Anolis sagrei: one gene and its partners. The protein of the gene in region 1 interacts with the protein of each later gene in a pairwise test. Links are inferred from orthologs where the notes say so. Each region holds a gene or a part of one and is shown in the gene's direction. Other genes may lie near its edges.

Region 1 (7,035 bases):
TGTTATCCATTCTTCTTTTGATGGCACTTTATTCGATTTCCAGTATCTCGCAAAAACTATTCTCGCCGCAGTTGTTAGATAGGTTAGTAGAATATCCTTGTTCGTGTCCAGTTCCCATTCTTCTTCAAAGATACCTAGCAGGTAACTTTCTGCTTTGGTGTATAACTTCATCTCCAGTATTTCTTCGCAGGAGTCATTTATCTTCTTCCAATATGTTTGGGCTATAGGGCAAGTCCACCACTGATGGAAGAAAGTTCCGACTTGCTTTTCACACTTCCAACAGTTGTTCTTGATGTTTTTGTACATGAGTCCCAATTTCTGGGGCGTCATATACCATCTGTGGAAGAGCTTATACCAATTTTCTCTTAAATCTGTGGAGTAGGTGTACTTTATCTTCTTGCTCCAGATTTTTTCCCATTCTTCTAGTTTGATGGGTCTGCCGATGTTCCTTGCCCATTTTATCATACACTCCTTGACTGTTTCTGTCTCCGTCTTCCAGCCAAGTAGCATATTATAAATACATGTGATGTATTCACTAAGAACTTCAGAATCTGTCATGTCTTTTCTCTCCTTCTTTATAAAAGACATGAACTTCAGAATCTGTCATGTCTTTTATAAAGAAAGAGAGAAAAGACATGACAGATTCTGAAGTTCTTAGTGATTTTTAGGACAGTGGCTGACTCATTCTTCACCACATGATGGAGCTATTTTACTGAGTTCTCTCTGACCCGAGATAAGAATGAAATTAATGTCTTAAATTAGTGGAATGTGTTTCTACCGAGTGGTATACTAGACAAATTCAGTAATAAAGCTCACCTCTTCTCCAACAGGTCAAGTACAGGCTTTGTCTTGTAGCTGTGATTTGTGTTGAAGCCAGAACCCTGGCTGGCATTTAATAACCTTCTGCTTTTCAGTTATTTTCAGCAAGACAGTTATTCCAAAGCAGAGAGCTTTGAGATAGTAGAACTGAAGCTCTCCGAAGCTCTAGGTGCCCTTACCGCCTACTACAGGGAAAACCAGCTGATCCCTGATCCATCTGAAACACAGACATGTGCCTTTCACCTTAAGAACAGACAAGCATCCCGAGCTCTGAGGATTACCTGGGAAGGAATCCCACTGGAGCATTGCAGAACACCCAAATACCTGAGAGTCACCCTGGACCATGCTCTGACCTACAAGAAGCACTGCCTGAATATCAAGCAAAAAGTGGGTGCTAGAAACAATATCATACGAAAGCTTATTGGCACAACCTGGGGATCACAACCAGACACAGTGAAGACATCTGCCTTTGTGCTATGCTACTCTGCTGCTGAGTATGCATGCCCAGTGTGGAACACATCTCACCACTCTAAAACAGTGGATGTGGCTCTTAATGGGACATGCCGCATTATATCAGCAAACTGATATAATTAGTTCACTCCGTTATTAGGAAGAAACTTAAAAATATTGCTGCCAAAACCACTGTTAAATATTGTCCTTCCTCCAGTATTTTAAATACAACCAACAGGTGCAAGAGTAGCATCAGGGTTTTCACAAGGAGTGGGCAACTTGTGGCCTTCCAAATGCTTCTTGGATTGCAAGTCCTATTGTCCTGAGCTTTATTAATTTAGGGAGATGAAGCTGTGGTCCAGTAACCTCTAGAAGCCGTGTAACCAGGCATGTAGCCGGGGGGGGGGGGGGGGGGGGCTTGAGGGGTTTCAGCCCCCCCCCCCCCAAATTCTCAGGGTGATCCACGAGAAGGCCTATACACACTTTCTTTCAGACTATAGCTCCCAGCATCTAAGCTGCAAGCTTTCTTCTCCTTCAGGCATGTAGCCGGGGGGGGGGGGGGCAGGGCTTGAGGGGCTTCAGCCCCCCCCCCCCGAAATTCTCAGGGTGGTCCGTGAGAAGGCTTTACTGGTACATTATTTAAACTGTTATGTTTATTCATATCATGATCTGATCATGATACTCAATATATCCCATATGCATGGGGGTATTGGGATAATGATACAAAAGGTTTACTAGGGTAGATCCTCACCCCCCCCCCCCAAATCAAACTGACCCTACCCCCTCGAATCCTGACTACGGGCCTGCATGTAACCCATTGCCCACCCTTACTATGAATCAGAAACATTGAAAATATTATAGAATAGTGGAACTTGCAATATAAATGCGTTGTTAACAGCTTTTCACTTACTCATTTTAGTGAGTTTTTTAACTAAATTCTTTTAATAATTGTAACATTTAACTCTATTTATATTTATATTTTGTAGGTTTTTCCATTATAAAATTTTAAAGTTGTGAGCCACTTTGGATCACAGTTCTAAGAGAAAACAGGAAAATAACAACAACAACAACAACATTAACCAATCAAATTTGTTTAATTTTCACAACTAGGTTGTGGAATCTACCCATTGCAGAACACAGAATTTGACTTAATGTGATGCAAAAACTTCTTTTTCATTTTTATTTTAGCACTCAAGACCTACCTACACTCTTGGTCGGGTTCCTATTGGCTTGAGAATAACCTAGCATTTACCCACGAGACGAGCAAAGATGTCACGTCTGGGTTGTTGTAGGTTTTTCGAGCTGTATGGCTACGTTCTAGAAGCATTTTCTCCTGACGTTGTCACATCTGCTTCAGAAGGTGGTGCCAGACTTCTCTGAAACCTTCGAACTCCTTCCACCAGCTTCTACCATCGTATTGTCGAAGGCTTTCATGGCCGGATTCACTGGGTTGTTGTAGGTTTTTCGGGCTATATGGCCATGTTCTAGAGGCATTTCTCCTGACATTTCGTCTGCATCTATGGCAAGCATCTATGGCACTACCTCTGAGTATGCTTGCCATAGATGCAGGTGAAACGTCAGGAGAAAAGCCTCTAGAACAGTGGTTCTCAACCTTCCTAATGGTGTGACCCCTTAATACAGTCCCCCATGTTGTGGTGACCCCCAACCATAATATTGTTTTCATTGCTACTTCATAACAGTCATTTTCCTACTGTTATAAATCATAATGTAAATATCTGATATTCAGGATTCATTTTCATTCACTGGACCAAACTGGGCACAAATACCCAATACACCCAAATGTGAATGCTAGTGGGGTTGGGCGAGGATTGATTTTGTAATTTGGGAGTTGTAGTTACTAGGATTTATAGTTCACTTATAATCAAAGAGCATTCTGAACTCCACCAGCGATGGATTTGAACCAAACTTGGCTCCCATGACCAATGGAAAACATTGGAAGGGTTTGATGGACATTGACCTTGAGTTTGGGAGTTGTAGTTCACCTATATCCAGAGAGCACTGTGGACTCATGCAATGGTAGATCTGGACCAAACTTGGCATGAATACTCAATATGCCCAAATGTGAACACTGGTGGAGTCCGGGGAAAATAGACCTTGACATTTGGGAGTTGTCGTTGCTGGGATTCATAGTTCATTACAATCAAAGAACATTCTGAACTCCACCAACAATAGAATTGGCTCAAACTTCCCACATGGAATCCCCATGACCATCAGAAAATACTATGTTTTCTTATGGTCTTTGGCGACCACTCTGACACACCCTCGCGACCCCCTCAGGGGTCCCCAGGTTGAGAAACACTGCTCTAGAACATGGCCATATAGCCCGAAAAAACCCTACAACAACCCAGCTTCTACCATCGTTTCAGTTGGTGTCCTGTGAGCAACTTCTGTGCTGCAAAGAGTATATTTTCAGTCTGTGATCTTCCAAAATACAGCCACACAGAGAAGTCTTTTGTGTCAACTAAACGTAGCATTGTTTCAGTTCGTTTTTTAAAAAAGCAGATAGCATAGACTCTTCCTGCGTGTTGCATACCAGCCATGCTACTTAGCACTTTCTCAGCTGTTGGCCCCTGACAGGCAGAAGCATGTGGTTTCTAAAAATACTTCCCAAGAACACGCATTATCTTCCCAATAGGAGAGTGTAAACTAAATGTTGTGTTGGAAGCACAAGAATGTTGGATTTTGGAAAGAAGGTTGTTTCTTCATTTTCCTAATGAAGCAAACACTTACCATAGATAGATGTAGCTCACCTTTTTCTTCTCTAACCCCCATCCCCTACAAAGCCACTTTGGCAACCTGAATAATGCCCCCCTTTTCCCTATGGAAATGCAGTACTAGATGGGAGGTGCACAGAGACAGCCCATTGAGAGGAGTGGTCCTTTGAAAGCTTTAAAGAGCAGAAGTGATAAGAGATTTGAGTCACTTGGAATTGTCCCGTGTTACAAGCTTGGATAGCCTGAGGAAACAAAAGGAGGCATGGAAACAGTGGAGGTGTTTGACACGGATGGCAAAGGCAGGGGGCTGAAGACAAGCAAGGAATTTTGGGCTGGAGATGTAATTTTTGCAGAACGAGCCTATGCTGCAGTAGTATTTGACAGGTAAGAAAGAAAAATGACAATGGTGTTGCAGTGAAGCAAGGAGAGACTACATGAAAGAGCTGGTGAATTGACCGTATGGAATTTGTTGCATGACTTGGGATGTTATTTATTAATAAGATGATGAGCATTTCAGGATGTGAGAAATACTTCTCAGGAACTTGGGCTAGTCTGCAGTTGGGCTTCTTAAACGTTTTCCACTCATGACCCTTTCCCACCTGAGAGATGTTCATGTGACCCCAGATATATATAGGTATATAAAAGAGGAATAAAAAACAATAGATAAATATCTATATAAATAAAAATTTAATGTTCGTTTGTGGAATTAACAGAACTCAAAAACCACTGGACGAATTGCTGCCAAATTTGGCCACAAGACACCTATTAAACCAAGGAGTGACCACTCAAAAAATTGATTTTGTCATTCGGGAGTTGTAGTCGCTGGGAGTTATAGTTTACTTACAATCAAAGAGCATTCTGAACTCCACCAATGATGGAATTGAACCAAACGTGGCATACAGGACTCCCATGAACAATAGAAAACACTAGAAGGGTTTGGTGGGCATTGACCTTGAGTTTGGGAGTTGTAGTTCACCTACATCCAGAGAGCACTGTGGATTCTAACAATGATGGATCTGGACCAAACTTGGCACAAATATTCCATATGCCCAAATATGAACACAGATGGAATTTGAGGAAAATAGATCTTGACATTTGGGAGTTGTTGTTGCTGGGATTTATAGTTCACCTACAATCAAAGAGCATTCTGAACTCCACCAATGATAGAATTGGGCCAAACTTCCCATACAGAACCCCCATGACCAACAGAAAATATTGTTTTCTGATGGTTTTGGTGACCCCTGTGACACCCCTTTATGACCTCTGCAGGGGTCCCGATCCTCAGGTTGAGAAATACTGCCTTAAGCCCATCCAGTCCAACTCCCTTCACCAGGGCAAGAAAACATAACCAGAGCCCTCCTGACAAAGAGCCATCCTAAAAAGCAAAAAAACAAACAAAAAACAACAACAACAAAACCCAAAAAAACCTCACCACATTACAACGCATGTGCAAAACCACACACACACACATGCACACACACATATACACAAATATATACACATATATACATACAAAGCACATATACACAGACTGGGCCACAGCAATGCGTGGCAGGGGATGGCTAGTAGGTACAAAGATTTATTGATAATAACTCAGCATTTGCAAGGCTTACTAAATAGGCTGATTTTCCTTTTTGCAGAATACAGCTGAAGCATTTTCTGCAGAATCCATTGTAAATATTGCAGATTGTTGCCAACAGATTCGTGTGAGCGGCATTCAAAAAACCTCCCAAAATTTTTGTGATGCCAATAAAATAGAATAACTTTATTGTCATTGTACAATGAAATCCAATGCTTTCCCCAGCACACACCACAAAACAACACGCTCATCCCTCCACACTCCCACCACCACCACATAGCTTCCAATGCCACATCAAAGCGAAGCCATGGAGTTCAATATAGTTACAGCTCTAGGATAAAAATTGTCTCTCAGTTTGTTTGTCACTCTGTACCATTTGCCAAATGGTAATAATTTAAGAAACAAATATGTCAGCTGAGATGGATCCCCAAGAATGCACTGAACTTTCTTAAGGCTGCAGGACCTACAAAGTTCTTCCAAAGAGGGTCATTTTCATTAGGCGATCCCTTGTTGTCCGAGTAGGATAGTCTTCCAAGATCAGTGTACTGGTGGTGACCGTAGGTGACTGTGGAGCCCAATTCTTGATTTGCATCTTCTCCCGCAATGAGGGCATTGGTTTCCAGGTGGAAGGCAATCCCGGTCGGGGTTGGCTTGATGCGCCTTTCTCTTGGCACGTTTCTCTCTTTCACCCTCCAGTTGTGCCTCTTCAAATTCTACAGCACTGCTGGTCACAGCTGACCTCCAGCTGGAGCGCTCAAGGGCCAGGGCTTCCCAGTTCTCAGTGTCTATGCCAGAGTTTTTGAGGTTGGCTTTGAGCCCATTTTTAAATCTCTTTTCCTGTCCACCAACATTTCGTTTTCCGTTCTTGAGTTCGGAATAGAGCAACTGCTTTGGGGGACGGTGGTCGGGCAGCTAGACAATGTGGCCGGTCCAGCAGAGCTGATGGTGGAAGACCATCGCTTCAGTGCTGGTGGTCTTTGTTTCTTCCAGCACGCTGACATTTGTCCGCTTGTCTTCCCAAGAGATCTGCAGGATTTTTCAAAGAGGGTAGAATGCAACCAATGATACTCTGTGCAGAAGTGGTGATCCTTTGGAGCGCCTTCCTATCTGCCACTGTGCAGTTACCAAACCATGCACAGATGCAGTAGGTTAGGACCCTCTCTATAGCACAGTGACAATTTTTGTTCAGTTGTTGGTTTCTTAAAGGTTTCAATATTGAACTAAGGGGATGCAGTGGTCTAGAGTGACCCAGCAGAGTGACTAATCCACTTTAGAGTATCTGTTGTGAATTTGCTAAATTATCTTAGGCAATTTCCTAACCCTTAATCTCATCCTCCTAACGTGAAATCTAGGGTTCTTGTGCATTGTGCATAGAAAGAAGCACAACGTTGCACAGTATTGAATATTGTATCTATATGAGCAGTTGAGACTGTAGAAGCAACTAGAGGTCTT
Region 2 (7,565 bases), on another chromosome or scaffold:
CAAACAATGATAGATCTGAACCAAACTTGGCACAAATACACAATATGCCCAAATGTGAACACTGACGGAGTTTGGGGAAAATAGACCTAGACTTTTGGGAGTTGTAGTTGCTGGGATTTAGTGTTCACCTACAATCAAAGAGCATTCCGAACCCAACAAATGGTAGAATTGGGTCAAACTTCTCACACAGAACCCCAATGCCCAACGGAAAATACTGTGTTTTCTGATGGTCTTTGGCGACCCCTCTGACAGGTTGAGAAACACTGGTCTAGATGACTCTTGAAAACCCAAAAGCCTGACATGAAGACAGTAGCTTTTTTCCTTGACTGCTGGTCAGCAAATTGGCAATCTAAGTTGTGCAGCCTCTGATTGGAAAACATTATGACTATTTTATTTGTTGTTGCGTTTCTTAAAGACATTTTGAACGTATGGCAACCCTAAAACGACCCAATTATGTGACTTTCCTGGACAGATTTGTTCACGAGGGATTTACCTTTGCCTTCCTCTGAGGTTGAGAGAATGCAAGTTGCCCAAGGCTGCTCAGTGGTTTTCTGTGGCCAAATGGGGATTCGAACCCTAGTCTCCCAGTTGCCCCAGTCCAACACTCAAACCACTTTACCATACTGATTCTCTACATAATATACAGTATTTTAACAAACTGAGATTTTGATATTGAGCATAGTTAGCAGTAACTGAATTCAATGGAAGTTACAATTTCCTTAGCATTGCCCTTCCACATTCATACTCCTAAACATGAGCGGAGATGGTTTCAGAAGTTGAGATTTTGTGGCACAAATCAGAGAAGGAAGAAGATTAAGACTAACTGGTTTGTATTTTAAGCATAGGCTTACATTGTTTTCAGAGGCGATCTCTTTAATAACTAACTAGAAAAAAGAGACTGAGGAGGAATAAATTCTACTCTTTGTTTGTAATACTTTAACCACAATAGTTTAAAAGACAAAAAATTTAGGCAAAGAGGAAAGGTTGACTTTAAAAACCCACATCAGCTGCAGAACTATGAACAGCCTTGTATGCTGTAATCAATGTTTGGAAAGTTGATTTGGATGATTGATATTTTTGTTAACTTTAATCAGCAATAACATTCACAAAGCACAGCAATTTGTAAGTCACTTATACAAGAGAGGTTCGCAAAACTCTTCACCTTGACAACAGCCTCCAGAACAGAATGGAGGCCCAATGGAAAATTCTGAGGCGGTTTTGTCATCATCAGGATCCATTATGATGCGATACTGAAAGGCATTGAGCAGTTCAAGGGTGATAGTTGACCAAGTAGTGTCCTTTCGAAAGGGAGAAACAAGGAAGGGCATCGTGGCACGTGACATTACGAGGGCTGAGCCTTTACAGGATGAGGAGACAAAACTCCATGTGAAGTCCGAGGGTCTTCTCAAAAGACCAAACTCAAAGAAGCTATAAAACTAGATGCTTGGTAAGCCTTTGGCTTAAATAGTTTAATCTTTTTGGAAACTTTCCTACAATAAGACTTCAGCTGGACTATTGTGAACTGCCTTGGGCCCCATACTGGCAGAAAGGCGGGCTGTAACTTATATATACATTTATACAGATGCTATTTTCCAAGTATTGGATGTACATCTAGAAATTTTATCCCCAAAATGGACCTCCCAAAACCCTGCATTTATGTGGTACTTTTCCGTAAAATACTTTACGATTCTTATCATATCTCTGTGTGTTTCTATGTAAAGATGAGTCATATATACATACAAACTCATATACATACATATACATAGATGGCATATGTGCTGTCGCATGCTGGGCCTGTGCATAAGACTGTAGACAGGACATAAATTCTGTGTGCCCAAAGGGGATGCCGGGGATGCCTCAGATTAAAGGCCCTTGGATTTCCTTAAAACAGAGTCTTTAGATTGCTTAAAGGTTCAACAAAGTTCTTTATTAATGAAAACAAACAGGTACTTTAAGGCAGTGGTTCTCAACCTGGGGGTCGGGACCCCTGGAGGAGTCGCGAGGGGGTGTCAGAGAGGTCGCCAAAGACCATCACAGACAATATTTTCTGTTGGTCATGGGAGTTCTGTGTGGGAAGTTTGGCCTAATTCTGGATGCTCTTTGGTTGTAGGTGAACTATAAATCCCAGCAACTACAACTCCCAAATGTAAAGGTTTATTTTCCTCGAACTTCAGTGTTCACGTTTGGGCATATTGAATATTTGTGCCAAGTTTGATCCAGATCCTTCATTGTTTGAATCCACAGTGCTCTCTGGGTGTAGGCAAACTACAACTCCCAAACTCAAGGTCAATGCCCACCAAACCCTTCCAGTATTTTCCGTTGGTCATGGGAGTTCTGTGTGCAAAGTTTGGTCCAGTTTCATTCTGAACTATACCAGTTTGGTATAGTTCAGAATGCTCTTTGAATGTAGGTGAACTATAAATCCCAGCAACTACAACTCCCAAATGACAAAATCAATCCTCCCATCCCAACCCCACCAGTATTCAAATCAGGGCATATTGGGTATTTGTGCCAAGTTTGGTCCAGTGAATAAGAATACATCCTGCATATCAGATATTTACATAACAATTTATAACAGTAGCAAAATTACAATTATGAAGTAGCAATGAAAATAATTTAATGGCTGGGGGTCACCACAACCTGAGGAACGGTATTAAGGGATCGCAGCATTAGGAACGTTGAGAACCACTGCTTTAAGGCTTTCTTAACAGTCTATTGGCTCTTTCAATCTTGTCCACAGGGAACAGGCACTATCTTCATGACTGGTATTTTAACTAATGGGGAAATCCTTAACTTCTAATCTGGGCAGTCTTTCTTTGCCTCTGTTGGCATGGAGCCCCTACACCCAGTAACAACTGCTTCTGGCTCTGCGAGAGACCCTTACCAAGCAGAGCTTTGTAGATCTCCAGGGGAAAAGGAGTTCAGGTTTCAGTGATGGTTGACTGAAGTCCCTCCGCAAAGGAGCTGTAAGACTGTATGATCCTCAGCTAAGCTGTAGGCTGTATATCTCCCCGGCCAAGCTGTAGAAGACGAAGCTTTCTACAGGAGCTCTTGGTATTATGTCCTGCATGGAAAGCTTTTCTGTGTGGACTGAACTCAAACTGGCTCCTATTCCCTCCAAAACCCAAATCCCAGCAACTACAACTCCCAAATGACAAAATCAATTTTTTTAGTGTTGGTCACTCCTTGGGTTGTTAGGTGTCTTGTGGCCAAATTTGGTGTCAATTCATCCAGTGGTTTTTGAGTTCTGTTAATCCCGCAAACGAACATAACCTTTTTATTTATTTATTTAGATAGATGGATGGATGGATGGATGGGTGGGTAGATGGGTGGGTTTGTGGGTGGATGGATGGGTAGGTGGGTGGGTTAGTGGATGGATGGATAGATAGATGGATGGGTGGATGGGTGGGTGGGTTTGTGGATGGATGGATGGATGGGTGGGTGGGTTAGTGGATGGATGGATGGATGGATGGATAGATGGATGGATGGGTGGGTTTGTGGATGGATGGATGGATGGGTGGGTGGATGGGTGGGTTTGTGGATGGATGGATGGGTGGGTGGATGGGTGGGTTTGTGGGTGGATGGATGGATGGATGGATGGGTGGGTGGGTGGGTTTGTGGATGGATGGATGGATGGGTGGGTGGATGGGTGGGTTTGTGGATGGATGGATGGGTGGATGGGTGGGTTTGTGGGTGGATGGATGGATGGATGGATGGGTGGGTGGGTTTGTGGATGGATGGATGGATGGGTGGGTGGATGGGTGGGTTTGTGGATGGATGGATGGGTGGGTTTGTGGATGGATGGATGGGTGGGTTTGTGGATGGATGGATAGATAGATGGGTGGATGGGTGGGTGGGTGGGTTTGTGGATGGGTGGGTTTGTGGATGGATGGATGGATGGATGGATGGGTGGGTGGGTGGATGGGTGGGTTTGTGGATGGATGGATGGGTGGGTTTGTGGATGGATGGATGGATGGATGGATGGATGGATGGGTGGGTTTGTGGATGGATGGATGGATGGATGGGTGGGTGGGTGGGTTTGTGGATGGATGGATGGATAGATAGATGGATGGATGGATGGATGGGTGGGTTTGTGGATGGGTGGGTTTGTGGATGGATGGATGGATGGATAGATAGACAGAGAAATAGATAGATGGATAGATAGATAGATAGATAGATAGATAGATAGATAAATGGATGGATAGATAGATAGATAGATAGATGTTAAATAAATAGATCTAGATAGATGGCTCTTCTCTCCTCCCTCCCTCCCTTGAGAAGCTCTTCCTCAGTAGGAATGGTCTCTCTCGCGCGCGCGCTCCCGCCCTCAAGCGCGTTCCCGCTCAGCCCGCCCGCCCTCCCTTCCGAGGCGCATGCGCGCACTCTTTCCCTTTTCCCTGATTTAACCCCGCCTACTATTTTTTTCCTCTCTCCCTCCCTCACTGCTTGCTTGCTTGCTTCCTCAGCAGACGCCGCGTTGCATTGTGGGACACAAACAAAGTGCCCGGCTCGGCGAAGGAAGAGGGGAGGGGCGGGGGGAGCAGACAGGGATTGAGAGAGAGAGAGAGAGCGCGTGAGTGGCCGCGCGCCGCCACCGTCCCTTCCCCCCTCAGTGCGCCTGCGCGGGGCCCTCTGCCTCCTCTCTTTCCCCCCCTCCCCTCCCCGTTTTCCCAACGCCCGCGGCGCGAGCGCAGGGGAAGCCCAACGGCTGTGGTGGGTGGGAGGGGGGGTGGCGGCGACGGTGGCCGCCATGGCCCAAAAGGGGCCTACGCGCGGGGCCAGCTAGGGGGAGGCGGCGGCGGAAGCCGAGGCGACGGGAAAAAAAAGGGAAAGGCCGGCTTCCCGCCCGCACACGCAGGTTAAAAATAAAGAGACGTCAATACCCCGGGCCCGGAGAAGGAGAGGGCCTCGCCAAACGCAGGTAATGAAGGGGCTGGGATGGGAGGAAGAGGAGCGCCTTTTCTGTGGGAAGTCCCTTAAGGGCCACCGTCGCCCCTGAGCTGGGAAATGTGCCTGTGTGCTTGCTTCGGGGTTGTTTTGCTTGTAAGGCTGGCGCGCACCTTGATGGCGCCATAGAAATAAACGATAACAATAATAATAGTGGTGGGAATGAGGCGGGGACAGGCAAGCCCCGCCCCCTCGGGATCCTGCCCCGCCCCTCCGCCTTTATTTACTCCTCCATTCAGAACCCCCCCCCCTTCCTCCTCATCTTTCCTTCTCTGAACATCGTAGTGTATTATATATATTGTGGCATAATAATAAAGTACAATATAATATATAATATACTAGCTGTCCCCTGCCAGGCGTTGCTGTGGCCCAGTCTGGTGTTCTGGAAAATAAAGTAATGAGAAAGTGTTGGTTTCTAATATATGCAATGTCTTGATGCTTGTGGATAAACAGTATTTCTTGTTGTTTCTTTGTCAGTGTTGATGTGGAGATTATCAGGTTTGCCTACTCTGGAACATGCAACATATTATTGTCCTTCTTTAGGGGTCCCTTTCAAATCTATGATACTGTATCTCTCTGTGTGTGTGAATCATATATCTATCTATCTATCTATATATATATATATGTAAATGCTCTGTGCATAATGAGTACCTTAAAAACAAAAGAACCAATGAACAAAATCACACCAAATTTGGCAACAAAATGTCTCACAACACAAGGAGTGACCATCACTCAAAAATTATGATTTTGTCATTTGGGAGTTATAGTTGCTGGGATTTATAGTTCACCTACACTCAAAGAGCATTCTGAACTCCACCAATGATGGAATTGAACCAAATATGGCACACACAACTCCCATGACCAACAGAAAATACTGTGTTTTCTTTTGGTCTTTGATGATCCTTCTGACACCCCCTCGCAACCTCCCCAGGGGTCCCAAACCCCAGGTTGAGAAAGGCAGCCTTAAGGCCATCCAGTCCAATCCCTTCACCAGAGCAAGAAAACATAATCAAAGCCCTCCTGACAAAGGGCTATCCAGCCATTCACACACACACATATATATGTATATGACAGATGCAGTATCATAGATTTGAAAGGAATCCCTACAGAAGGACAATGATATGTTGCATGTTCCAGAGTAGGCAAACCAGACAATCTCCACAACCCTGGCAAAGAAACAGCAAGAAATACTGTTTACTCACAAGCATAAAGACATTGCATATATTAGAAACCAACACTTTCTCATTACTTTATTTTCCAGATCACCAGACTGGGCCACAGCAACGCGTGGCAGGGGATCACTAGTATATCTATGGCAGGATGGCTCTTTGTCAGGAGACCTTTGATTATGTTTTCTTGCCCTAGTGAAGGGAGCTGGATTGGATGGCCTTAAGTATTTTCTTCGTCAGTGTTGATGTGGAGATAGTCTGGTTGGCCTACTCTGGAATATGCAACAGATAATTGTCCTTTAGGGGTCCCTTTCAAATCTGTACTACATCTGTCATGTACATATATGTGTGAGAGAGAATCATATATATCTATCTATATATATGGCTGGATGACTCTTTATCAGGAAGGCTTTGTTTTCTTGCCCTGGTGACGGACTGGATGGCCTTAAGGCAGCATGTCTGGGGAGGTCACAAGGTGGTGTCAAGAGGGGTCGCCAAAGGCCACCAGAAAATACAGTATTTTCTGTTGGTCATGGGGGTTCTGTGTGGGAAGTTTGCCCCTATTGTTTGTGGGGTTCAGAATGCTCTTTGATTGTAGGTGAACTATAAATCCCAGTGACTACAACTCACAAATGTCAAGGTATATTTCCCCCAAACTCCATCTGTGTTCATATTTGGGCATATGGAATATTCGCTCAAAGTTTGGTCCGGATCTGTCATTGTTTGAGTCCACAGTGCTCTCTGGATATAGGTGAACTACAACTCCAAAACTCAAGGTCAATGCCCACCAAACCCTTCCAGTATTTTCTGCTGGTGATGGGAGTTCTGTGTGCCAAGTTTGGTTCAATTCCACCGTTGGTGGAGTTCAGAATACTCTTGGATTGTAGATGAACTATAAATCCCACCAACTACAACTCCCAAATGACAAAATCCATTCAGACCCCCCCCCCCCTTTCCTCCTCTTCTAAACAACGTAATATACTGGTAGTATATATATATAGTATGGAATAATAATAAAGTACAGTATAATAATATATAATATACTGGCTATCCCCTGCCACACGTTGCTGTGGCCCAGTCTGGTGTTCTGGAAAATAAAGTAATGAGAAAGTGTTTGTTTCTAATATATGTAATGTCTTGTGGGTAAACATATAGAGATAGTCTGGTTTGTCTACTCTGGAACATGCAACTTATAATTGTCCTTCTTTAAGGGTCCTTTTCAAATCTATGATATTATATCTGTCACATACATATATGTGTGTGTGTGTGTTAATAATAATCATCATCATCATCAGCAGCATTATTATCTTTATTTATACCCCGCCACCATCTCCCCAAAGGGGAGGCCAAGCCCAGAAATACAATACAATAAAATAAATTAAAAACAATAAAATAAAACCAAACAGCAAAACTAATGTCATAATAAAATAAATAAAGCATAGGAATACA
Region 3 (7,725 bases), on another chromosome or scaffold:
TTAAATAAAAAGGCTTTCCTCGTTTCCTCTGGGCTTCCCAACCTTTGGTCCTCAACGTGTTGGGACTTCAACTCCCAGAAGCCCTAGCAGCTTGGTCAACGGTAAGGAATTCTGGGAAACGAAGTCCAAAAACTCTCGAGGCCTAAAGCATGGGAAGCACTATTCAAGGAGGAGGTGAAGATCTCGGTTTATAGACATTAAACCGCTGATGGGGATAGGAAAGGGCTTGAGGCTGTTAGGAATTGTGGGAGTTGGAATCCAAAATACTTGGAAGGCCAAAGTTTGCCCAGGCTTACTACAGAGTCTTTATATGGAAAGAAATCCCATGACTTTTAATCGTTCTTTTGTGCCTTCAAGTAGCGATTCTAAGGCGCGTTTATCACAGGCTTTACTTGGAGGTTTGCCAGTCCCATCCTTTGAGGCTGAGAGAGTGTGACTTGCCCAAGGTCACTTAATGGTTTTCCATGGCAGAGCAGGGATTCGAACCCAGGTCTTTTAAACCAGGGTTGAATTCCTTTGTGGCTGTGGAAACCGATCGGGTGATCTTGGGCAAGCCACACTGTCTCAGCCTCAGAGGAAAGCAAGTCCTACTGAAGGAGAAAAAACTTTTATAGGCTTGAAATAAGTTGGGAATGACTTAAAGACAGGCAAGCCGATGAAGGAAGTGATGCAGTCGAAGCCTAAGTCTGAGAGAGATGTGGAAATTATAATGATGCAACATCACTATCATCTTCTTTATCTTTTCCCAACATAATAACAATAAACAACTTTATTCGTATCCCGCCATATCGCCCTGGGCCGCGCTTGGGTGAAACCAAATGGGACCAAATGGACGCTGCCTTTCTTTTTCTCCGAGTTTTGATAGTTCCTTTAAAGAAAAAGGCTTTCCTCGTTTCCTTCCCAACCTTTGGTCCTCGACGTGTTGGGACTTCAACTCCCAGAAGCCCTAGCAGCTTGGTCAACGGTAAGGAATTCTGGGAAACGAGGTCCAAAAACTCTCGAGGCCTAAAGCATGGGAAGCACTATTCAAGGAGGAGGTGAAGATCTCGGTTTATAGACATTAAACCGCTGATGGGGATAGGAAAGGGCTTGAGGCTGTTAGGAATTGTGGGAGTTGGAATCCAAAATACTTGGAAGGCCAAAGTTTGCCCAGGCTTACTACAGAGTCTTTATATGGAAAGAAATCCCATGACTTTTTATCGTTCTTTTGTGCCTTCAAGTAGCGATTCTAAGGCGCGTTTATCACAGGCTTTACTTGGAGGTTTGCCAGTCCCATCCTTTGAGGCTGAGAGAGTGTGACTTGCCCAAGGTCACTTAATGGTTTTCCATGGCAGAGCAGGGATTCGAACCCAGGTCTTTTAAACCAGGGTTGAATTCCTTTGTGGCTGTGGAAACCGATCGGGTGATCTTGGGCAAGCCACACTGTCTCAGCCTCAGAGGAAAGCAAGTCCTACTGAAGGAGAAAAAACTTTTATAGGCTTGAAATAAGTTGGGAATGACTTAAAGACAGGCAAGCCGATGAAGGAAGTGATGCAGTCGAAGCCTAAGTCTGAGAGAGATGTGGAAATTATAATGATGCAACATCACTATCATCTTCTTTATCTTTTCCCAACATAATAACAATAAACAACTTTATTCGTATCCCGCCATATCGCCCTGGGCCGCGCTTGGGTGAAACCAAATGGGACCAAATGGACGCTGCCTTTCTTTTTCTCCGAGTTTTGATAGTTCCTTTAAAGAAAAAGGCTTTCCTCGTTTCCTTCCCAACCTTTGGTCCTCGACGTGTTGGGACTTCAACTCCCAGAAGCCCTAGCAGCTTGGTCAACGGTAAGGAATTCTGGGAAACGAGGTCCAAAAACTCTCGAGGCCTAAAGCATGGGAAGCACTATTCAAGGAGGAGGTGAAGATCTCGGTTTATAGACATTAAACCGCTGATGGGGATAGGAAAGGGCTTGAGGCTGTTAGGAATTGTGGGAGTTGGAATCCAAAATACTTGGAAGGCCAAAGTTTGCCCAGGCTTACTACAGAGTCTTTATATGGAAAGAAATCCCATGACTTTTAATCGTTCTTTTGTGCCTTCAAGTAGCGATTCTAAGGCGCGTTTATCACAGGCTTTACTTGGAGGTTTGCCAGTCCCATCCTTTGAGGCTGAGAGAGTGTGACTTGCCCAAGGTCACTTAATGGTTTTCCATGGCAGAGCAGGGATTCGAACCCAGGTCTTTTAAACCAGGGTTGAATTCCTTTGTGGCTGTGGAAACCGATCGGGTGATCTTGGGCAAGCCACACTGTCTCAGCCTCAGAGGAAAGCAAGTCCTACTGAAGGAGAAAAAACTTTTATAGGCTTGAAATAAGTTGGGAATGACTTAAAGACAGGCAAGCCGATGAAGGAAGTGATGCAGTCGAAGCCTAAGTCTGAGAGAGATGTGGAAATTATAATGATGCAACATCACTATCATCTTCTTTATCTTTTCCCAACATAATAACAATAAACAACTTTATTCGTATCCCGCCATATCGCCCTGGGCCGCGCTTGGGTGAAACCAAATGGGACCAAATGGACGCTGCCTTTCTTTTTCTCCGAGTTTTGATAGTTCCTTTAAAGAAAAAGGCTTTCCTCGTTTCCTTCCCAACCTTTGGTCCTCGACGTGTTGGGACTTCAACTCCCAGAAGCCCTAGCAGCTTGGTCAACGGTAAGGAATTCTGGGAAACGAGGTCCAAAAACTCTCGAGGCCTAAAGCATGGGAAGCACTATTCAAGGAGGAGGTGAAGATCTCGGTTTATAGACATTAAACCGCTGATGGGGATAGGAAAGGGCTTGAGGCTGTTAGGAATTGTGGGAGTTGGAATCCAAAATACTTGGAAGGCCAAAGTTTGCCCAGGCTTACTACAGAGTCTTTATATGGAAAGAAATCCCATGACTTTTTATCGTTCTTTTGTGCCTTCAAGTAGCGATTCTAAGGCGCGTTTATCACAGGCTTTACTTGGAGGTTTGCCAGTCCCATCCTTTGAGGCTGAGAGAGTGTGACTTGCCCAAGGTCACTTAATGGTTTTCCATGGCAGAGCAGGGATTCGAACCCAGGTCTTTTAAACCAGGGTTGAATTCCTTTGTGGCTGTGGAAACCGATCGGGTGATCTTGGGCAAGCCACACTGTCTCAGCCTCAGAGGAAAGCAAGTCCTACTGAAGGAGAAAAAACTTTTATAGGCTTGAAATAAGTTGGGAATGACTTAAAGACAGGCAAGCCGATGAAGGAAGTGATGCAGTCGAAGCCTAAGTCTGAGAGAGATGTGGAAATTATAATGATGCAACATCACTATCATCTTCTTTATCTTTTCCCAACATAATAACAATAAACAACTTTATTCGTATCCCGCCATATCGCCCTGGGCCGCGCTTGGGTGAAACCAAATGGGACCAAATGGACGCTGCCTTTCTTTTTCTCCGAGTTTTGATAGTTCCTTTAAAGAAAAAGGCTTTCCTCGTTTCCTTCCCAACCTTTGGTCCTCGACGTGTTGGGACTTCAACTCCCAGAAGCCCTAGCAGCTTGGTCAACGGTAAGGAATTCTGGGAAACGAGGTCCAAAAACTCTCGAGGCCTAAAGCATGGGAAGCACTATTCAAGGAGGAGGTGAAGATCTCGGTTTATAGACATTAAACCGCTGATGGGGATAGGAAAGGGCTTGAGGCTGTTAGGAATTGTGGGAGTTGGAATCCAAAATACTTGGAAGGCCAAAGTTTGCCCAGGCTTACTACAGAGTCTTTATATGGAAAGAAATCCCATGACTTTTTATCGTTCTTTTGTGCCTTCAAGTAGCGATTCTAAGGCGCGTTTATCACAGGCTTTACTTGGAGGTTTGCCAGTCCCATCCTTTGAGGCTGAGAGAGTGTGACTTGCCCAAGGTCACTTAATGGTTTTCCATGGCAGAGCAGGGATTCGAACCCAGGTCTTTTAAACCAGGGTTGAATTCCTTTGTGGCTGTGGAAACCGATCGGGTGATCTTGGGCAAGCCACACTGTCTCAGCCTCAGAGGAAAGCAAGTCCTACTGAAGGAGAAAAAACTTTTATAGGCTTGAAATAAGTTGGGAATGACTTAAAGACAGGCAAGCCGATGAAGGAAGTGATGCAGTCGAAGCCTAAGTCTGAGAGAGATGTGGAAATTATAATGATGCAACATCACTATCATCTTCTTTATCTTTTCCCAACATAATAACAATAAACAACTTTATTCGTATCCCGCCATATCGCCCTGGGCCGCGCTTGGGTGAAACCAAATGGGACCAAATGGACGCTGCCTTTCTTTTTCTCCGAGTTTTGATAGTTCCTTTAAAGAAAAAGGCTTTCCTCGTTTCCTTCCCAACCTTTGGTCCTCGACGTGTTGGGACTTCAACTCCCAGAAGCCCTAGCAGCTTGGTCAACGGTAAGGAATTCTGGGAAACGAGGTCCAAAAACTCTCGAGGCCTAAAGCATGGGAAGCACTATTCAAGGAGGAGGTGAAGATCTCGGTTTATAGACATTAAACCGCTGATGGGGATAGGAAAGGGCTTGAGGCTGTTAGGAATTGTGGGAGTTGGAATCCAAAATACTTGGAAGGCCAAAGTTTGCCCAGGCTTACTACAGAGTCTTTATATGGAAAGAAATCCCATGACTTTTTTCGTTCTTTTGTGCCTTCAAGTAGCGATTCTAAGGCGCGTTTATCACAGGCTTTACTTGGAGGTTTGCCAGTCCCATCCTTTGAGGCTGAGAGAGTGTGACTTGCCCAAGGTCACTTAATGGTTTTCCATGGCAGAGCAGGGATTCGAACCCAGGTCTTTTAAACCAGGGTTGAATTCCTTTGTGGCTGTGGAAACCGATCGGGTGATCTTGGGCAAGCCACACTGTCTCAGCCTCAGAGGAAAGCAAGTCCTACTGAAGGAGAAAAAACTTTTATAGGCTTGAAATAAGTTGGGAATGACTTAAAGACAGGCAAGCCGATGAAGGAAGTGATGCAGTCGAAGCCTAAGTCTGAGAGAGATGTGGAAATTATAATGATGCAACATCACTATCATCTTCTTTATCTTTTCCCAACATAATAACAATAAACAACTTTATTCGTATCCCGCCATATCGCCCTGGGCCGCGCTTGGGTGAAACCAAATGGGACCAAATGGACGCTGCCTTTCTTTTTCTCCGAGTTTTGATAGTTCCTTTAAAGAAAAAGGCTTTCCTCGTTTCCTTCCCAACCTTTGGTCCTCGACGTGTTGGGACTTCAACTCCCAGAAGCCCTAGCAGCTTGGTCAACGGTAAGGAATTCTGGGAAACGAGGTCCAAAAACTCTCGAGGCCTAAAGCATGGGAAGCACTATTCAAGGAGGAGGTGAAGATCTCGGTTTATAGACATTAAACCGCTGATGGGGATAGGAAAGGGCTTGAGGCTGTTAGGAATTGTGGGAGTTGGAATCCAAAATACTTGGAAGGCCAAAGTTTGCCCAGGCTTACTACAGAGTCTTTATATGGAAAGAAATCCCATGACTTTTAATCGTTCTTTTGTGCCTTCAAGTAGCGATTCTAAGGCGCGTTTATCACAGGCTTTACTTGGAGGTTTGCCAGTCCCATCCTTTGAGGCTGAGAGAGTGTGACTTGCCCAAGGTCACTTAATGGTTTTCCATGGCAGAGCAGGGATTCGAACCCAGGTCTTTTAAACCAGGGTTGAATTCCTTTGTGGCTGTGGAAACCGATCGGGTGATCTTGGGCAAGCCACACTGTCTCAGCCTCAGAGGAAAGCAAGTCCTACTGAAGGAGAAAAAACTTTTATAGGCTTGAAATAAGTTGGGAATGACTTAAAGACAGGCAAGCCGATGAAGGAAGTGATGCAGTCGAAGCCTAAGTCTGAGAGAGATGTGGAAATTATAATGATGCAACATCACTATCATCTTCTTTATCTTTTCCCAACATAATAACAATAAACAACTTTATTCGTATCCCGCCATATCGCCCTGGGCCGCGCTTGGGTGAAACCAAATGGGACCAAATGGACGCTGCCTTTCTTTTTCTCCGAGTTTTGATAGTTCCTTTAAAGAAAAAGGCTTTCCTCGTTTCCTTCCCAACCTTTGGTCCTCGACGTGTTGGGACTTCAACTCCCAGAAGCCCTAGCAGCTTGGTCAACGGTAAGGAATTCTGGGAAACGAGGTCCAAAAACTCTCGAGGCCTAAAGCATGGGAAGCACTATTCAAGGAGGAGGTGAAGATCTCGGTTTATAGACATTAAACCGCTGATGGGGATAGGAAAGGGCTTGAGGCTGTTAGGAATTGTGGGAGTTGGAATCCAAAATACTTGGAAGGCCAAAGTTTGCCCAGGCTTACTACAGAGTCTTTATATGGAAAGAAATCCCATGACTTTTAATCGTTCTTTTGTGCCTTCAAGTAGCGATTCTAAGGCGCGTTTATCACAGGCTTTACTTGGAGGTTTGCCAGTCCCATCCTTTGAGGCTGAGAGAGTGTGACTTGCCCAAGGTCACTTAATGGTTTTCCATGGCAGAGCAGGGATTCGAACCCAGGTCTTTTAAACCAGGGTTGAATTCCTTTGTGGCTGTGGAAACCGATCGGGTGATCTTGGGCAAGCCACACTGTCTCAGCCTCAGAGGAAAGCAAGTCCTACTGAAGGAGAAAAAACTTTTATAGGCTTGAAATAAGTTGGGAATGACTTAAAGACAGGCAAGCCGATGAAGGAAGTGATGCAGTCGAAGCCTAAGTCTGAGAGAGATGTGGAAATTATAATGATGCAACATCACTATCATCTTCTTTATCTTTTCCCAACATAATAACAATAAACAACTTTATTCGTATCCCGCCATATCGCCCTGGGCCGCGCTTGGGTGAAACCAAATGGGACCAAATGGACGCTGCCTTTCTTTTTCTCCGAGTTTTGATAGTTCCTTTAAAGAAAAAGGCTTTCCTCGTTTCCTTCCCAACCTTTGGTCCTCAACGTGTTGGGACTTCAACTCCCAGAAGCCCTAGCAGCTTGGTCAACGGTAAGGAATTCTGGGAAACGAGGTCCAAAAACTCTCGAGGCCTAAAGCATGGGAAGCACTATTCAAGGAGGAGGTGAAGATCTCGGTTTATAGACATTAAACCGCTGATGGGGATAGGAAAGGGCTTGAGGCTGTTAGGAATTGTGGGAGTTGGAATCCAAAATACTTGGAAGGCCAAAGTTTGCCCAGGCTTACTACAGAGTCTTTATATGGAAAGAAATCCCATGACTTTTTATCGTTCTTTTGTGCCTTCAAGTAGCGATTCTAAGGCGCGTTTATCACAGGCTTTACTTGGAGGTTTGCCAGTCCCATCCTTTGAGGCTGAGAGAGTGTGACTTGCCCAAGGTCACTTAATGGTTTTCCATGGCAGAGCAGGGATTCGAACCCAGGTCTTTTAAACCAGGGTTGAATTCCTTTGTGGCTGTGGAAACCCATTGGGTGATCTTGGGCAAGCCACACTGTCTCAGCCTCAGAGGAAAGCAAGTCCTACTGAAGGAGAAAAAACTTTTATAGGCTTGAAATAAGTTGGGAATGACTTAAAGACAGGCAAGCCGATGAAGGAAGTGATGCAGTCTAAGCCTAAGTCTGAGAGAGATGTGGAAATTATAATGATGCAACATCACTATCATCTTCTTTTTTCTTTTTCCAACATAATAACAATAAACAACTTTATTTGTATCCCGCCCTTTCGCCCTGTTGAGGACTCGGGGCGGTTAACATC

Evidence for each region.
Region 2: the proteins of SMYD1 (region 1) and ZBTB44 interact in binary tests that used the Homo sapiens proteins (3 or more experiments, as listed by UniProt). The link is inferred for Anolis sagrei from reciprocal best matches to the Homo sapiens genes SMYD1 and ZBTB44.
Region 3: the proteins of SMYD1 (region 1) and FAM204A interact in binary tests that used the Homo sapiens proteins (3 or more experiments, as listed by UniProt). The link is inferred for Anolis sagrei from reciprocal best matches to the Homo sapiens genes SMYD1 and FAM204A.

The regions. Positions count from the first base shown.
Region 1 is NC_090026.1:54,919,427-54,926,461, reverse strand, and holds the start of SMYD1 (histone-lysine N-methyltransferase SMYD1), read left to right. Parts: upstream 1-3,938; 5' UTR 3,939-4,266; coding exon 4,267-4,388; intron 4,389-7,035. UniProt on the Homo sapiens protein: Methylates histone H3 at 'Lys-4' (H3K4me), seems able to perform both mono-, di-, and trimethylation. Acts as a transcriptional repressor. Essential for cardiomyocyte differentiation and cardiac morphogenesis.
Region 2 is NC_090027.1:32,875,935-32,883,499, forward strand, and holds the start of ZBTB44 (zinc finger and BTB domain-containing protein 44), read left to right. Parts: upstream 1-4,494; 5' UTR 4,495-4,921; intron 4,922-7,565. UniProt on the Homo sapiens protein: May be involved in transcriptional regulation.
Region 3 is NC_090023.1:203,236,850-203,244,574, forward strand, and holds the start of FAM204A (protein FAM204A), read left to right. Parts: upstream 1-4,654; 5' UTR 4,655-6,868; coding exon 6,869-7,004; intron 7,005-7,725.